Linked DNA regions of Callithrix jacchus. The protein of the gene in region 2 purifies or fractionates together with the protein of the main gene of each other region. This does not show direct contact. Links are inferred from orthologs where the notes say so. Each region holds a gene or a part of one and is shown on either strand. Other genes may lie near its edges. The genes, in order: KRR1 and ZNF346.

Region 1 (8,270 bases), on a different chromosome or scaffold from region 2:
AAGTCAAAATAGGGAGAAGTAACAATCAAAAAGGGCTTAAAAGGGCCTGCCTGTAATCCCAGCACTTTGGAATGCTGAGGTGAGTAGCTCACCTGAGATCAAGAGTTCAAGACTAGCATGGCCCATATGGCAAAACCGCATCTCTACTAAAAATACAAAAATTAGCTGGGCATGATGGTGGGCACCTGTAGTCCAGCTTCTCGGGAGGCTGAGGCAGAATTGCTTGAACCTGGGATGCAGAGATTGCAGTGAGCCAAGATCATGCCACTGCCCTCCAGCAATATCAATAGAGTGAGACTCCGTCTTGAAAAATAAAAAATAAAAAAGGGCTGAGACTCAAGGACTTTCCCAATCTAGTCTAGATTTGTGTCAAGAAACCCTTTAGAGATGTCAATTTTTCTTTCCCCTTTTAGTGTCATTTGAGTACATATTCTATTTGTTTACATATTTATGTTCAGATTTCCAAAGATGGTAAAGAAAAATGATGTATATTGTGATTGACTTACAATCGTATTGCTATTGAATCGCCATACTTTGAATTGTCTCTATACTGAGAGGTAACATAACATAGTCAACATTTTGATGAACATCTTTTCATGCAGGTGCGCACGTGCGCACACACACACACAGAGACAGTTTTATGTAAATAGGATCATATTATACATGCTATTTTATCATGGACATCTTCTTTTGTCTTTTTGCCTAGTTTCATCTTCTTTTCTAATCACTTTCATCTCTAAGTTAGCCAGTCTTAAAAGCTTAACGTGTATCCATCCCAATTCTTGTTCATTGTACAATCACATACAAATTCATATAATCATATATTATGCTCAGCACATGGAATATAACCAAATATTTAGAACAGTGTCTTGAACATTATAGGTGCTCAATAAATATTTGTTGAATGAGTTGTCTTAGAAAAGTGGAATCATATTATATATGCATATAATGTGTGTGTATGTGTATGTGTATGTGTATATATATGTTTATGTATCTGGCTTTTATTGCTCAATATTCTATGTAATTTTTTATATAGATTTAATTAATTATTATAAATGGTTGTATAATAGTTCATGGCTATGAAGGTAACAGCAATTTATTTAACTATATCTCTAATTGATAGTTGAAATGCTTTTACGTTTTGCCAATGTAAACAATAATAGCTATCCCCTATTGAGTGTTTATCATATGCTAAGTGGTTTTTTTTTTTTTTTTCACTTTACGTGTGTTAAACTACTGAAGGGTTAGGCTATTGTCCCCGTTTTAGGAAACTGAGCAGGCGTGGGTAAGAAACTTGCCCAAGGTTATACAGCCAGTAGGTGGCAAACTAGTCAGTATGGCTCCAAAGTATATTTCACTGAACTACTTCTATCGAAGGTAGTAATCAACACTATTGTACAAACACTTAAATTGAATGGTCCTTTATTTCTACTCAATAGTTTATCTGGCTTAGAATTATTGCAGAAACATATGTGTATTTATATGGCTAAATTGCTCTGCAAAAAGGCAGTAACAGTTTACATTTGCACCAGCAGTGTATGAGTGTTCTTTCCTCTAGCAGTATTATTTTTTAAATATATATTTATTCTTTTCTTTTTTTTTCAATCTGGTGGGTGAGAAGTATATTCCATTGTTAAGTCTGTATACTTTGTAGACAGTAGTGAGGTTGAACATTATATGTTTTTCACTCATTTGGATTTGCTCCACTAAAAATTGTTGTATTTGGGCCCTCCAGAAAAACAAAACCAGTTAAGTGTGTGTGTGTGTGTGTGTGTGTGTGTGTGTGTTTTATTTTTATTTATTTTAAAAATTGGCTCCCACATTTATGGAGGCTGGTACGTAAAAAATCTGCAGGGTAGGCTGGCAGTCTGGAGACTCAGAGATAAGACAATGCTGAAATTCAAGTCCAAGGGACTTGTGCTGCATAATTCTTCTTTCTCAGGGGAGGTCAGTCTTTTTTTTCTATTCAGGTCTTCAATTGATTGGATGAGGATTACCCACAGTATAGAGGAAAATCTGCCTTACTCAGAGTTCACTGATTTGAATGTTAATCTCATCCAAAAGCACTCCCACAGAAACATCCATAAAAATGTTCGATCAAATATCTGGATAACATTACCCAGTGAAGTTGACAATAAAAATTAACCATCACAAATATCTACTAATATGTTTTCCTTATTTTTCTATTGAATTGCTTACATCTTTTTATCACCTTGAATATTATTGTAATCAACCCATTAAATGTTTTGTGAATATTTTCCCCATCTCTATTATATCTTTTATTTTTCTTACACTATTTCTCATCATTTTAAATTTTAAATTATTATTTTGAATCAGTGAGTCACTGAAATTGAGATGAAAATTTGGACACCATCATTTTGATCATCACTATTGAGTTTCTAGTCTTCTAAGATGATTTTAAGAGATTTTTCAATATTTATTTTCAATATGTATTCAATAAATATGATATTTAGTTATTAGTCAATATTTATTTGAAATCGTTCTTTCAATTCTAATGCATTTTTGAAAGATGTTGAAATTAGATCATCTGTCCTTTTCCAAAAAAAGGAATCTAGAGCACACAGTTCTCACACGTGGAAACTATTGTTTAGAGGTTTTAAAAGTTTAAAACTTTCATATGTAATATTGATTGCAATGTTTAATTCTTAGAACTAGTCGAATTTATTTATTCCATACCATATTTATTTTTAAAAGTTTTCTTCGAAATTGCTTAAAACATAGTCTAAGCAAATTGTTGAAATATTGTTCTCATTTAATTTGACTGTCAATTTTAATTTTTAGTAAGTATATATAGGTACTATTTCCTCTTGTAAAGCCAACATATTTTTCACAATAAATAGTAGCTATTCCTGTCACTTCCTGCAGTGAGACCCATATAAATTATATTCTCGTATTTTTATTTCCTCCCGATATCTAGTGCATATTTGGCCATCATCTAAATATTCATCAAAAGAATAAACGACTTCCATGACAGCCTGGTAGCACTCCGCAGTCCGGTGGTCCAGGTTACAACGTGAGGCCGAGGAAACTACGGATTACTATCCAATTTGCCTGCACCGCTTGCTAAACTACAATTCCCAGTACGCAAACTCCATGGTTGCAGTGCATCCTGGGAGAAGGTTTCCGGCTCTTCAATTGGCCAAGTAGGAGAAGCTGTGGGTTGGGCAAAAACGCGGGCCTTAACGCACGTACGCACGGAGACTGCGCAGGTCTCCTCGTCTGAGTTCCGAGGAACTCATTTTGAGTGTGGGTATTTTAGCACGTAGGACTTAAAAACAGTTACACATCCGGCGCCACCGGAAGCAGCTTTAAAATGGCGTCTTCCTCGCTGGAGCGGCCAGAAAAAGCTGCTGGAAAAAGTGAATTTCGTAACCAGAAGCTGAAGCCGGATAACCAAGGTGATGTTATGTGGGAACCGAAGCCTGGGGTTTGTGGACGTTGAGTTGCGATGTTTCTTTCGTTGTTTGTTGACTTATAAAACCACCTGGAGCCTGTTCTTTGTAGTTAAGTACCGGAATTGCTGATGATTAAGATTGTTAGCCGGGCCCACCGGAACGACTAGCCGATATGGTGTCACCCACGTGTTCCTAACTATTTCTTTTGCTGAAGGGTCCCCCAAGCGAAGCTCTTGCGGAATGCGTATTCTGTAAAAGGATGAGGGTTGAGAAAATGTCCAGGGCGCTGCGGAACCTGGTAGCGCGCGGGTGGCCGAAAGTCACTGACGGAATGAGAAATAGGGTGAGGTGGAAATAGGTAGTCATGACATACAGGTGTGGACCCTGATAATGGAGTGAGATGTGGGGAAAGGAGCTGACATGCCCTTAGCTTTAGTTTGTCAGTAAAGAAATTTTAATAGATTTATCAATTATTCCTGTGTCATATTGCTAAAATATTAGACGACACAGTTCTTACTCTTTAGATTGTGCTACCTTTCAATTAACTCCTGCGTTATAGTCTGGTTTTACCCATTTTCTTCAGTATGAGTGACAGAGATAGTCAGAGAAATAGCCTGGGGACCTGCTCAACCAGGCTATAGGAAGTGTTAAAAACATCGAACTCTCAATTTAGATACATTGGGAAAGTAGTAAAGGTTTTTTTGTTGTGGCTCATTAAGTGGTTATGTAATGTAAATAGCAGAGGTTACAACTTATATACAGTTTAAATAATAAAAACATGCAAGAACCTAGCATTCAGACTACTAAGTAGAATAGAGCAAGCATTACTATACCCCTCAAACCCTTATGTACACCTCTCAGATCATATTCTCTTTTCCAGATTCAGAAGTAACCACTCTGAATTGTATTATTTTCTTTTCCTCTTCTTGTAGTCACGAAGTGGCTTAATTTTGCGTCATTTTCAATTTTATACATCAAAGTGGACTGTATGCATTTTTCTGTGTCTTCTAAGGTTTAGCTTTCTGTTTTTCAAACAGGGTAATACCCGTAGGTGTAGTTTTAGTCTTTTCACTGTTACATGGTGTTTCCTTGAATGAATATACCCCAATTTATTTTTTCATTTTACCGTTGGTGGACATTTGGATTGTTCACATTGCTTACAATTATAAACAATACTGCTAAAACATCGTGGTACATGTCTTCTGGTTAGCAAGGGTTTCTCTAGGTTATGAACATAGGATTGCAATCACTGAAGTGTAGGTTGTGTGTAAGTAATGCTAACTTTTTTTTCCAAAGGGGTTGTGTCAGTTTTGTCCCTACTAGCAGTGAATGAAAGTTCTCATTGCCTTCCATTCGTACGAATACGTGATATTATCCGAATTTTGAATTTCTCTAATTTTGGTAGGTATGAAATGGTATCTGGTTGTAGTTTTAATTTGCATTTTGTGATCACCTGTGAGGTTGCATATCTTTTCACGTGTTTGGGGGCTAATTGTACTTTCTTAATTGTGAAACTTCCTGTTTATTTCATTTGTCAGTTTTTTTCTGATTTTGGAGTGGGGAGTTTTAAAAAAAACTGATACATAGCCTTTGAAGATTTTAAATTGGATAGGGACTTGGTCAGGTAAGCATTGTAAGTAACTAGTTGCAGTGGCTCATGCCTGTAATCCCAGCACTTTGGAAAGCTGAGGTGGGCGGATTGCTTGAGCCCAAGAGACCAGCCTGGGCAGCATGGCAAACCATTTCTCTACAAAAAAATATATATATATATACAAAAATTAGCTGGGCATGGAGGCACATGCCTGTAGAACCAGCTAGTTATGAGGCTGAGGCAAGAGGATCAGATTGCTTGAGTCCAAGAGGTCTAGGCTGGGTGACAGAGTCAGGCCCTGTCTCCAGAATACACACACACACACACACACACACACACACACACACTAAATATAAGTCACTTTTGTAGAATGAGTTCTTTAAAGGATATTGGAGAGTGAATGGTATATGAAGACTAGCCAATTGTCTGTGATTTGAACCAGAAATAGCTAAGTGGATGTGAGTATATGCAGAAAGTTAAGCTGTTTGAGGTTGATAAATAGACTAATGACCTGCTTTTCAGACTTACTGTACTTCAGAGTCTCCTGTTGAGCATGGTAAAACAGACTTCTGTCCCTCATCCCAGAAATTGTGATTCAGTAGGTCTGGGGTGGGGCCCAAGAATTGCATTTCTTACAGACTTAGAGTTTATGCTGATACTGCAAGTCTGTAGATCATACCTTTGAGTATAACTGAATTAGAGTATAGCTGTTGAATTTCAGGGGTTCTTAAAATTCAGGACCAGGACTTTTAAAAATCAATGATTCAGGAGATAATTTATGACCCTTAGGAGGCATTTTCTTTTAGTGAAAGGAGTCCCAGGCTGAGTCAGCTTTGTGTTCGCTTAGGCAAGTCACTTAGCCTTTCAGACTGTCTTCTATAAAATGGTAATAATAATACAGATTCGTTCTAACTTCTATAGTTATGATGAAAGGCATATGGAAATAAGGCACTGAAAACACTTAGGAAAACCTAGAATTATCAGTGATTTTTTTTTTGAGATGGAGTTTCACTCTTGTTATCCAGGCTGGAGTGCCATGATGATCTTGGCTCACCGCAACCTCCGCCTCCGGGTTCAGACAATTCTCCTGCCTCAGCCTCCTGAGTAGCTGGGATTACAGGCACGTGCCACCATGCCCAGCTAATTTTTTTGTATTTTTAGTAGAGACGCGGTTTCGCCATGTTGACCAGGATGGTCTTGATCTCTTGACCTCCTCGGCCTCCCAAAGTGCTGGGATTACAGGCTTGAGCCACCGCACCCGGCCACCAGTGATTATTAACTGAAAGTATAAACTAGAATCCTCTTTCGGAAGTCTTACACACACACACACACACCCAGGTTCCATCCACTCCAGGAAAGTCAGAAAGATTAATTGTATTTAAAGTAATAGACAAAATGGCATTCAAATCTTCATGATGAAGTATGTGTTTCTTGAATACTCACTATCTGCTTGGCATATGCCAACTAGAGAGAAGAGGGTTTCTGTTTTTAAGGAACTCTGTCTTCTGAGGCAGCTGAAATGTGTACAGATAATTTTAATATAGTGAGTTGATGATGACAGGAATGTTCTTTGACTCTTAAGTAATATAAAAAGCAGGGGAAGAGGAAATGTAAGGAGTATTTAGAAGGCTTGTGAATATGTGCATAAAGTGTCCAAAAGACAGTTAAAATGTGATGTGTAACTGTTTTCCTTTCTATAGATGAATCAGAACTCCTTACTGTTCCTGATGGTTGGAAGGAACCAGCTTTTTCCAAAGAGGACAATCCCAGAGGACTCTTGGAGGAGAGCAGTTTTGCAACTTTGTTCCCCAAATACAGAGAAGCTTACTTGAAAGAGTGTTGGCCATTGGTGCAGAAAGCCTTAATTGAACATGTATGTGTATCTTATTTTAGACTTTGCTTTTGCTTATGTCGTTACTTTTAAGTAAGTGTATGTATGCTGATGTATTTTTTTAAATAGTGCTAACATAGCAGGTTCCTTTGGTTCCTTTGGTATTTTAAATAATTTAGGTAAGTCTTTCTACCTAATGATCATTTGTTTTTAATTTTATGTTGAAATATTCTTGAGATTATGCTCACAAGTGAGAAAATAGCATTTTAATTTGCTTTATTGAAATGTTTTTTCTGATTGAAAGTTGATGCTTTAAGTTTTCTAATCATTGCTTTTTTCTGAACCTATCAGAATTTGCTTTTGATTTGTATTTAGTCTGATAATCAGCTAGAAAAAGTTTGAAAGGGAAAGTCAATTCTTACTAATAGAGCAGATGGTAGACTGGAGTTGGGTCCAAAATAGGGAAGCTATACAGCTTTACATTTTTACTTTAGTCAGATTTTAAGTATGGCCTCATTTGGTCGATTTATAATTTTAAAATTAGAGGCAATCTATATTCAATGCTTACAAAGTATTCTAAAACCAAGTGTAAATGGTTTCAATTGCTCCAGTTTCTTATAGTTCATTAAGTATGAAAGTAATCGAGTATTCATTATTTATGCTTAATTACCTAGCTTCTTCAAGGAAGTAATTGATAGAAATTGAGAGGTGACAGAAATTAATAGGTTGGTTGGGATAGGCTTTATAATTATCTAAAATAAACTCATTTTTAGACAACTGAGTGTTTGTTCTTCTTTTTGTAGCATGTTAATGCAACCCTGGACCTGATTGAGGGCAGTATGACTGTTTGTACTACAAAGAAGACTTTTGATCCATATATCATCATCAGGGCCAGAGATCTGATAAGACTGTTAGCAAGGAGTGTTTCATTTGAACAGGTAAATCTAGAAGTAGAGACTTTGCTTTATTTGCATCAGGGTAAACCTATAGCATCCCATCTTTTCCTCCCTCCCTTCCACTATCAAGTTTTCATGTTTGTGCTTAGATAATGTTAGTGTGGGCTTGGAAAATAAATGTGATTGTAAAAAATGACTTTTTTTTTTTCCCCCAAAAGGCAGTACGAATTCTTCAGGATGATGTTGCATGTGACATCATTAAAATAGGTTCTTTAGTAAGGAATAAAGAAAGATTTGTAAAACGAAGACAACGGCTTATTGGTCCCAAAGGATCTACATTGAAGGTACTTGTTACTAGTGGAAAACTTGAGCCTTTTCTTTATTAATTTTTCAGAGTAATGAATTTTAACTTGTTCTTTTGATACAGGCATTGGAACTCTTAACTAATTGTTATATTATGGTTCAGGGAAACACAGTTTCAGCCATTGGACCTTTTAGTGGCTTAAAAGAGGTGAGAACTGTATTATCTTCAATTC
Region 2 (6,889 bases):
ATCAGGGCCAGCAACCTCACCTCGCCTCACCTGTCAGTCCTCAGAAGGGCAATTGTACAGTCTTCAGGTTCCTTCTTACTGGATAACTAAGATCTTGATTTTGATGTGTTTCAGCTGGAAAGGGCTACCCCTGCAAAACGTGTAAGATAGTGCTGAACTCCATAGAACAGTACCAAGCTCATGTCAGTGGCTTCAAACACAAGAACCAGTAAGTAACCATTTTTTGAAATTCTAGGATCTATAGTAGGAGCTCAGGACTTCTGTGTCAGAACAAAGCCAGGTAGTTCTTGGCTGAAACGGAATCCTAGCAGCCTTTTCTCAGTGAACAGAAGATGAATCATCTAACAGGAACAAGTTTCTCCTCTATACATATTTCTCCACCAGCTTCTGCCCAGCCTTTGGACCTGCTGGGCTCAAGGTTTTAATAGAGAAGCATACATGATTTCTTTGATAGAACCTTAAGAACATCTGGCTTTCCTGGTCTGTAGCACTCTGACTGAGGAAGTGTTTTTCCACTAGCCTGGAGAGCCTACCCTTTGCTGGCAAGAGTTCCCTCTATAGGTCATTATCAGATATGATCAGGCCCTCTCATTCATTAATCACGTATTTGTTGAGCATCTTCTGAATGGTGGTCTAGACAGACCCAGACTGCTCTCATAACCTTACAACCTGATGGGAGGCTATACAAGTAAACAACCAGTAACTGCAGCTTGTGATAAGGGTTTTGAAGGAACCAGGTAAACAGGTTCATGGTAATCTTGAAAATGACTAACAGTCATTGTGCCCCTCTTCTATTGCAGGCTGTACATCCAGCAGATTTTCTCAGGTAATCCTTCCAACCCTGAGAGGAACAGATAATTATTCCAATTTTATACATAGAAACAACCAGCATTGTAAGTGGTGATGTGAAGCAGGGTCATGATTCAAATTGAAGCCTGTCTGGCTCACAGCATGCTCCTCCCAAGGTGTCAGGCTCAGAAGTAGGTTATGGCACCATTGATATGAAGAGGATAGGACCTGGCCTGGAGGGTCTACATGGTTCTGTCCCTTCCTCTCTGAAGGGAAATATGTGTTATGAGCAATGTGCCACAACATAACCTTGGTTTTTGTTTTTGTTTTTTTTATAGGGAAGGGGTTTCACCATCTTGGCCAGGCTGGTCTCAAACTTGACCTCAAGTGATCTGCCTGCCTCAGCCTCCCAAAGTGCTGGGATTACAGGTGTGAGCCACTGCAGCTGGCCCCAGCATAACCTTCTAAGATGGGTAGCAGAATCCCCATTTTACAAACAAGGAAACTGAGTTTCAGGCGGGCAGGTCTGCTGAAATAATTGCTTTGACTTTGGTCATTTGTTTTGCTTTGCTCATTGAGCTGAATGATTTTAAAGGTGATGGAAATGCAGGGTGTTGGTATAAGAAAATGTCCTTAGTTCTCTCTACTCTGCCTGGAGTCTCCTTTCTCACACTGTAGATCATCCTCTTTACCTGTGGATATTTTTTTTACTTTGGGGAACTCTTGAAGGATAGCCTTGAGACAAGCCCCAGCAACTCAGCCTGGAGCTCACGCAGTGTTTCAGCATGCATACCTCCCTTGCAGTTTGGTTGATAGCAGTTACAATAGACAAACTGGAGCCAACCCAGAGCCCTGCCCTGGGGCTATCCATACCTGAAAGTGCTAGTGTTGTTCACTCTTCTCTTGCTAAACTTTCCAGCTCTATGACCTTGGGCAAGTCAATAAGCCTCTAATTCTCCCAGCATGGGCAATGTAGTGACACCCTGTCTACAAAAAATAAAGTTAGCCAGGTGTGGCAACATACACCTGTAGTCCTGACTACTTGAAAGGGTGAAGTGGGAGAAGAGCTTGAGCCCAGAAATTTGAGGCGATAGTGAGCTACAATGGCACCACTGTACTCCAGCCTGGGTGACTGAGTGAGATCCTGTCTCAAAATTTTTAAAAGTCTCTAATTCTTCTGTAAAGATAAAGCTATGGTTTGTTGAACACCTGAGTCAGTCTCATGAAATTCTCACCAAGAGGTCTGAAATTAGGATACCCCCTCCCAACCCCACCTTTTACAACCAAAGAAACCCTAAGTATCAGATAGGTTAATTAACTTGCCCAAGGTCACTTAGTTACTTGGAGTTAGACCTAGGATTCAAGCCTGTTTTACTCTGAAGCCCATTCATTTTATTCTGCCACTACCAAATGGAATGAGTTTATACAAACTCATTCACTCATACACCCTGTAGGCAGTGGTTTGGTATAGTGAAAAGGCATGGGCTACAGTCCTAAATCTACCGCTTAAAAACATACTTTGGGCCGGGTGTGGTGGCTCATGCCCGTAATCCCAGCTACTCAGGAGACTGAGGCAGGAGAATCACTTGAACCTGGGAGGCAGAGGTTGTGGTGAGCCAAGATCATGCCATTGCACTCCAGCCTGGGCAACGAGTGAAATCCATCTAAAACAAAACAAAACAAATCATACTTTGGGCTAGCCACTTCAACTTTCTGAACTTTAATTTCCTTGTATGTAAGATGAAGGTGTTGTTCTCACCTTGCAGAATTGCCATGAGGATGGAATGACTGAAGCTAAGCATCCGGCATTCTGCCAGCCCACAGTGGACCTCAGTGAAGGAAAGCTGCCTTGTCTATTACTCCAAGACCCTAGAAAGGCACTGCTATCATTGCAATAAGCCAGTACAGCTGCCACACACTGACCCTGTTCCTTTGTTCTTTCTCAAATACAGGTTACCAAAAACAGTGGCATCATCCCTGGGCCAGATTCCAATGCAAAGGCAACCCATTCAGAAAGACTCAACCACCTTGGAAGACTAGAGGTGTTTCTGCCCAGTGTCCCATGTTGGGCCAGCCATGAGCCAGCTTCCTGTGACTACTCAGCCCTTGGCTCCCTCTCACTCCTTGTTCTCACCAGGAAAATACACAGGCCTGAGGCAGGATTGGGCCACAAACAACCTCTGATTGGTCCAGGCTAATTCACTCCTGTTGCTCCCCTTTGGCAGGGGTCCTGTAGGTCATGATAGGGGAGTCAGGGGTATTGAGAAACTTGTGGTCTCACCGGGTGGTAGTTTGGAGGATGGCTTTCCCTCTTCCCCAACCCCTCTGGGCCATAGGTGCTGAGGCCCTAGCCACCTGTCTTTCCTCTGAAGGTCAGTTTTGGGCCAGTTCCTGCAACTAAAGAACAGAGATCTCCCTGGGCCCTAGACATTTCCAGTGAAACCTGGAACTTTTATACCAAACCTGGGCCAGGGCAGGAAACAGAGGAAATCACTTCTACATGGGAGCTTGGAGCTAATACAACACTCCGCCTTCCCCCACAAAGTGAAGGCTTTCCTGAGCCTTAGACAAGATATGGCCAGTTGTGCAGGTTTCTGCCAACTGTAAAGTGTCCTCCTGGAGCAATGACACAGTCTTGGTGGAGCATTGCTACTCCTCCTGCCCTGCTCCACAGTTCCTGAATGGTGCTAAGGATCTATAGCACCTGGCAACAAGCTGGGGCTGGGGGAGGCCTCTATGTCCACTGGGATCATGGGACACTCCAATGGGGATGGGACCTTTCCCCTCCTCCATCAGAGGTGCTCTGACCCAACATCACATGGGAAAGCGACCCACATGCAAGTCTCCCTGAGGGTTCTGCTCCTAAAGGCAAACTGCCTCATGCCAGCCAGCCATGAGGTTCATTGCTACCCTTGGCCCTATTAACCCTTTGTTTCCCCTTGTGCAGCAGACCACCTTGCCCAGGTTGCTGTGGTGCTAGCCTTCCCCATCATCCACCAGGTGATTTTTGGTTTCCAGAGAAAGAAATGGAGAGCTGATGCAGGTTTCTACAGTGAGGAACAGATAGATGTTCCCCAGGCCCCACACCCAGATTTATCTATCTTTGCTGTGTTTTATGGCCTGGGACTGACTCCACAGAGATAGATTTTTCCTTGTAGCTTTGAAGCAAGAATTCTGAGGAGTGTCACCATCAGAGGCTTCTCTTCACTGTGTCAAAGAAGCCCCTAGCTGCTCTCGTGGCCTCCTTCCCCCACTCCCTATCCCTTTACCTGTGAAATGCCTTTGCTTTGCATATTGTGTGTGGATGTGTGTGTGTGTGGATGTGTGTGGATGTGTGTGCTTAATGCTCTGTCTCTTGATCACTGAAGCGTCCAAATAAAGAATTACTCCCATGAGTCAGACTGCAACTTAACAAATCTAGGGTTTTGAGCTGTATTACTGTTAGATCTAGTATGTCTGTCTTGACCCCTAACCCCTACCCGACTCAGACCCCCAGGTCCTCAGTAGTCATTTTAGGAGTTGGGACAGAGTCAGGCACCCTGTGAAAGTCTCCAAGGTGCCCTGAACTCAATATAGCCTCATCTCATCCACCTTTTCCTGCCTCTCCTGTCACATAGGGCCTCACGAGAAGGTCTTTAACAGGTTTAAGCTGGGGATCTGCTTTGTGTTTGAGCGAATTATTCTGACTGTTATGTAAGAGAATACAGTGGGGTCAGGAAAGGAGACCGGGAGGCCAGTATGGAAACTGTGTCCAGTATGGCTTTCCAGGCTCATCACTCAGGGCAGAGACCCAGCCTTATTTATCTCTACTTTCTGATGTCCATAGTGGTGTGTCATGAAGTTTTATTGAATGAATGAGTTGTATGAGGAGAGATGTTTTTTTCCCCGCTCAGATCTTACGCAGTGATAGGTTTGTTTCATGGGACTTATCATAGGCCTGGTGATTCTTGAAAGAGCATTTTCCACGACCCAAAAATGAGCTGAGAAGGAATGTTATGGCCAGTTGTGGTGGCATGCACCTATAGTCCCAACTGCTCAGGAGGCTAAGGCAGAAAGACCATTCAAATCCAAGAGTTCCAGCCTGTAGTATGCTAGGATCATGCCTGTGAATAACCACCTCACTCCAGCCAGGGCAACATAACAAGAGTCCATCTCAAAAAAAAAAAAAGTGGCCAGGCATGGTGGCTCACGCCTGTAATCCAAGCATTTTGGAGGCCAAGGCAGGTGGATCACCTGAGGTCAAGAGTTTAAGACCAGCCTGACCAACATGGTGAAACCCCGTCTTAAAAAAAAAAAAAGTATAGCTGGGCGCGTGACTCACACCTGTAATCCCAGCACTTTGGGAGGCCGAGGTGGGTGGATCATGAGGTCAGTAGTTTGAGACCAGCATGACCAACATGGTGAAATCCCATCTCTACTAAACATACAAAAATTAGCTGGGCATGGTGGCATACACCTGTAATCCCAGCTACTCAGGAGGCTGAGGGAGAATCACTTTAATCTGGGAGGCAGAGGTTACAGTAAGCCAAGATCACACCACTAAACTGTAGCCTGGGTGACAAAGGGAGACTCTGTCTCAAAAAAAAAAAAGTATAAAAATAAATTTTAAAAGAAGATAGCTGGGTGTGGTGGTGCATTCCCGTAGTCCTAGCTACCTAAAAGGGTGAGGCAGGAGGATTGCTTGAACCCAGGAATTCAAGGCTGCAGTGAACTATGATTATGCCAGTGTACTCTAATCTGGGCAACAGAGCAAGACTCCATCTCTAAAAATAATAATTTTTAAAATTTAAAAAGAAGAATGTTATGGCCTCAGGAGCTCTTTGTCCCATCCTTTGCAGCCAAGTTTGAGGAAAGGGCCCAGGCAGCCTCAGCTCCCATTCAGCACCACTCAGCCCCTGCTTCTGGTCAGTTGTGAAAGTCTCTACCCAGCTCCAGGGGAGGTTCGCAGCATTCAGCTTCCCAAGATCAGACTGCCTCAGCAATTTCCCCCAGAGTTCTTCTAAGCCACCCAGTATGCCAAATTCAGCCCCATCTACTAAGCAAGGGAATGAAGGATAGGGGGGTGAGTCCCTACCAGTTGTGTGGCCAGCCTTGTTGGTAAGGGGTCCTAGAGATGAAAATTTTCTTGCCCTCGGGGGTTCACACATGGTTAAAGATCATTATGACAATGATAATGCCCAGGATGCACGAGCTGATTCAGCCAAGGGTGTAAAAAAGCTGGAGAGATTGGGAAACTAGTATTTGATCTGTATAACAACCTTTGAGCTAAGAGTTGATACTCCATATATAGGAGGCCAGGTGGGGTAGCTCACACCTGTAATCCCAGGACTGGGAGGCCGAGGCAGGTGGATCACAAGACGCTAGGAGTTCAAGACCATCCTGGTCAACATGGTGAAATCCCATCTCTACAAATAAATAAAAGTCATAGAAGGAACAAGGCTAAAAGAGGTGTCATGATTTGCCCAAGGTCCTGCCTCTAAGAAGTGACAGAATGGAGAATAGAATCTGGTTCTCTAGACTTGCTCTTAGAACCCTTTACAAGTGAGGACCAGAGTCAAGGCCCCTGCAGCCTGCCTCACCAGTCTCCTGCTAGTGCCGTGGTCTTACAGGGTGAGCAGCCACAAAACAGATGGATCAAGGCTCAGTGTTCATATTCCAAGTCCCTCCTTTTTTCTCATAATTTTGTCTCATTCCCAGTGTATTAGACTCTCATCATTAAACTGTTGGAAACCCAAATCCAAGCAGTTAGCTAAAAAAGTGAATATATTGATTCACTTAATGAAAAATTCAAATACAGTGATAGCTGGACCCAGACTCAGAGATGGGTTCATCAGGAAGAATTTTCTGTCCCTCTGCTTTCCTCCTCAGGCAGGTTCTCTAATAGGTGGCAAAGTGGCCACTGGCAGCCCCAGTCTTCTCTCCTGATACATTAGTAATAACAGTGGAAAGAACACCTTTTTCCATTAGTTCCAGCAAAAATTCTGGGATTGCCTCAGCCAGTTTAGTCCTGTTCTCATCCCTGAAGTAATCATTGTGGCTAGGGAAATGGCACTCTGATTTGGGGCCTGGGTCATGTGCCTACAGCCGAGTCAGCTCCACC

Evidence for each region.
Region 1: the proteins of ZNF346 (region 2) and KRR1 purify together in Homo sapiens (affinity purification with mass spectrometry; 3 studies listed by BioGRID and IntAct, with this or other methods). This does not show direct contact. The link is inferred for Callithrix jacchus from reciprocal best matches to the Homo sapiens genes ZNF346 and KRR1.

Annotation. Positions count from the first base shown.
Region 1 is NC_133510.1:78,156,729-78,164,998, reverse strand, and holds the start of KRR1 (KRR1 small subunit processome component homolog), read left to right. Parts: upstream 1-3,298; 5' UTR 3,299-3,334; coding exon 3,335-3,419; intron 3,420-6,707; coding exon 6,708-6,880; intron 6,881-7,641; coding exon 7,642-7,776; intron 7,777-7,952; coding exon 7,953-8,078; intron 8,079-8,161; coding exon 8,162-8,245; intron 8,246-8,270. UniProt on the Homo sapiens protein: Part of the small subunit (SSU) processome, first precursor of the small eukaryotic ribosomal subunit.
Region 2 is NC_133503.1:69,076,391-69,083,279, reverse strand, and holds the end of ZNF346 (zinc finger protein 346), read left to right. Parts: intron 1-114; coding exon 115-208; intron 209-800; coding exon 801-826; intron 827-1,127; coding exon of another isoform or gene 1,128-1,170; exon of another isoform or gene 1,171-1,218; intron 1,219-2,741; coding exon 2,742-2,869; 3' UTR 2,870-4,205; downstream 4,206-6,889.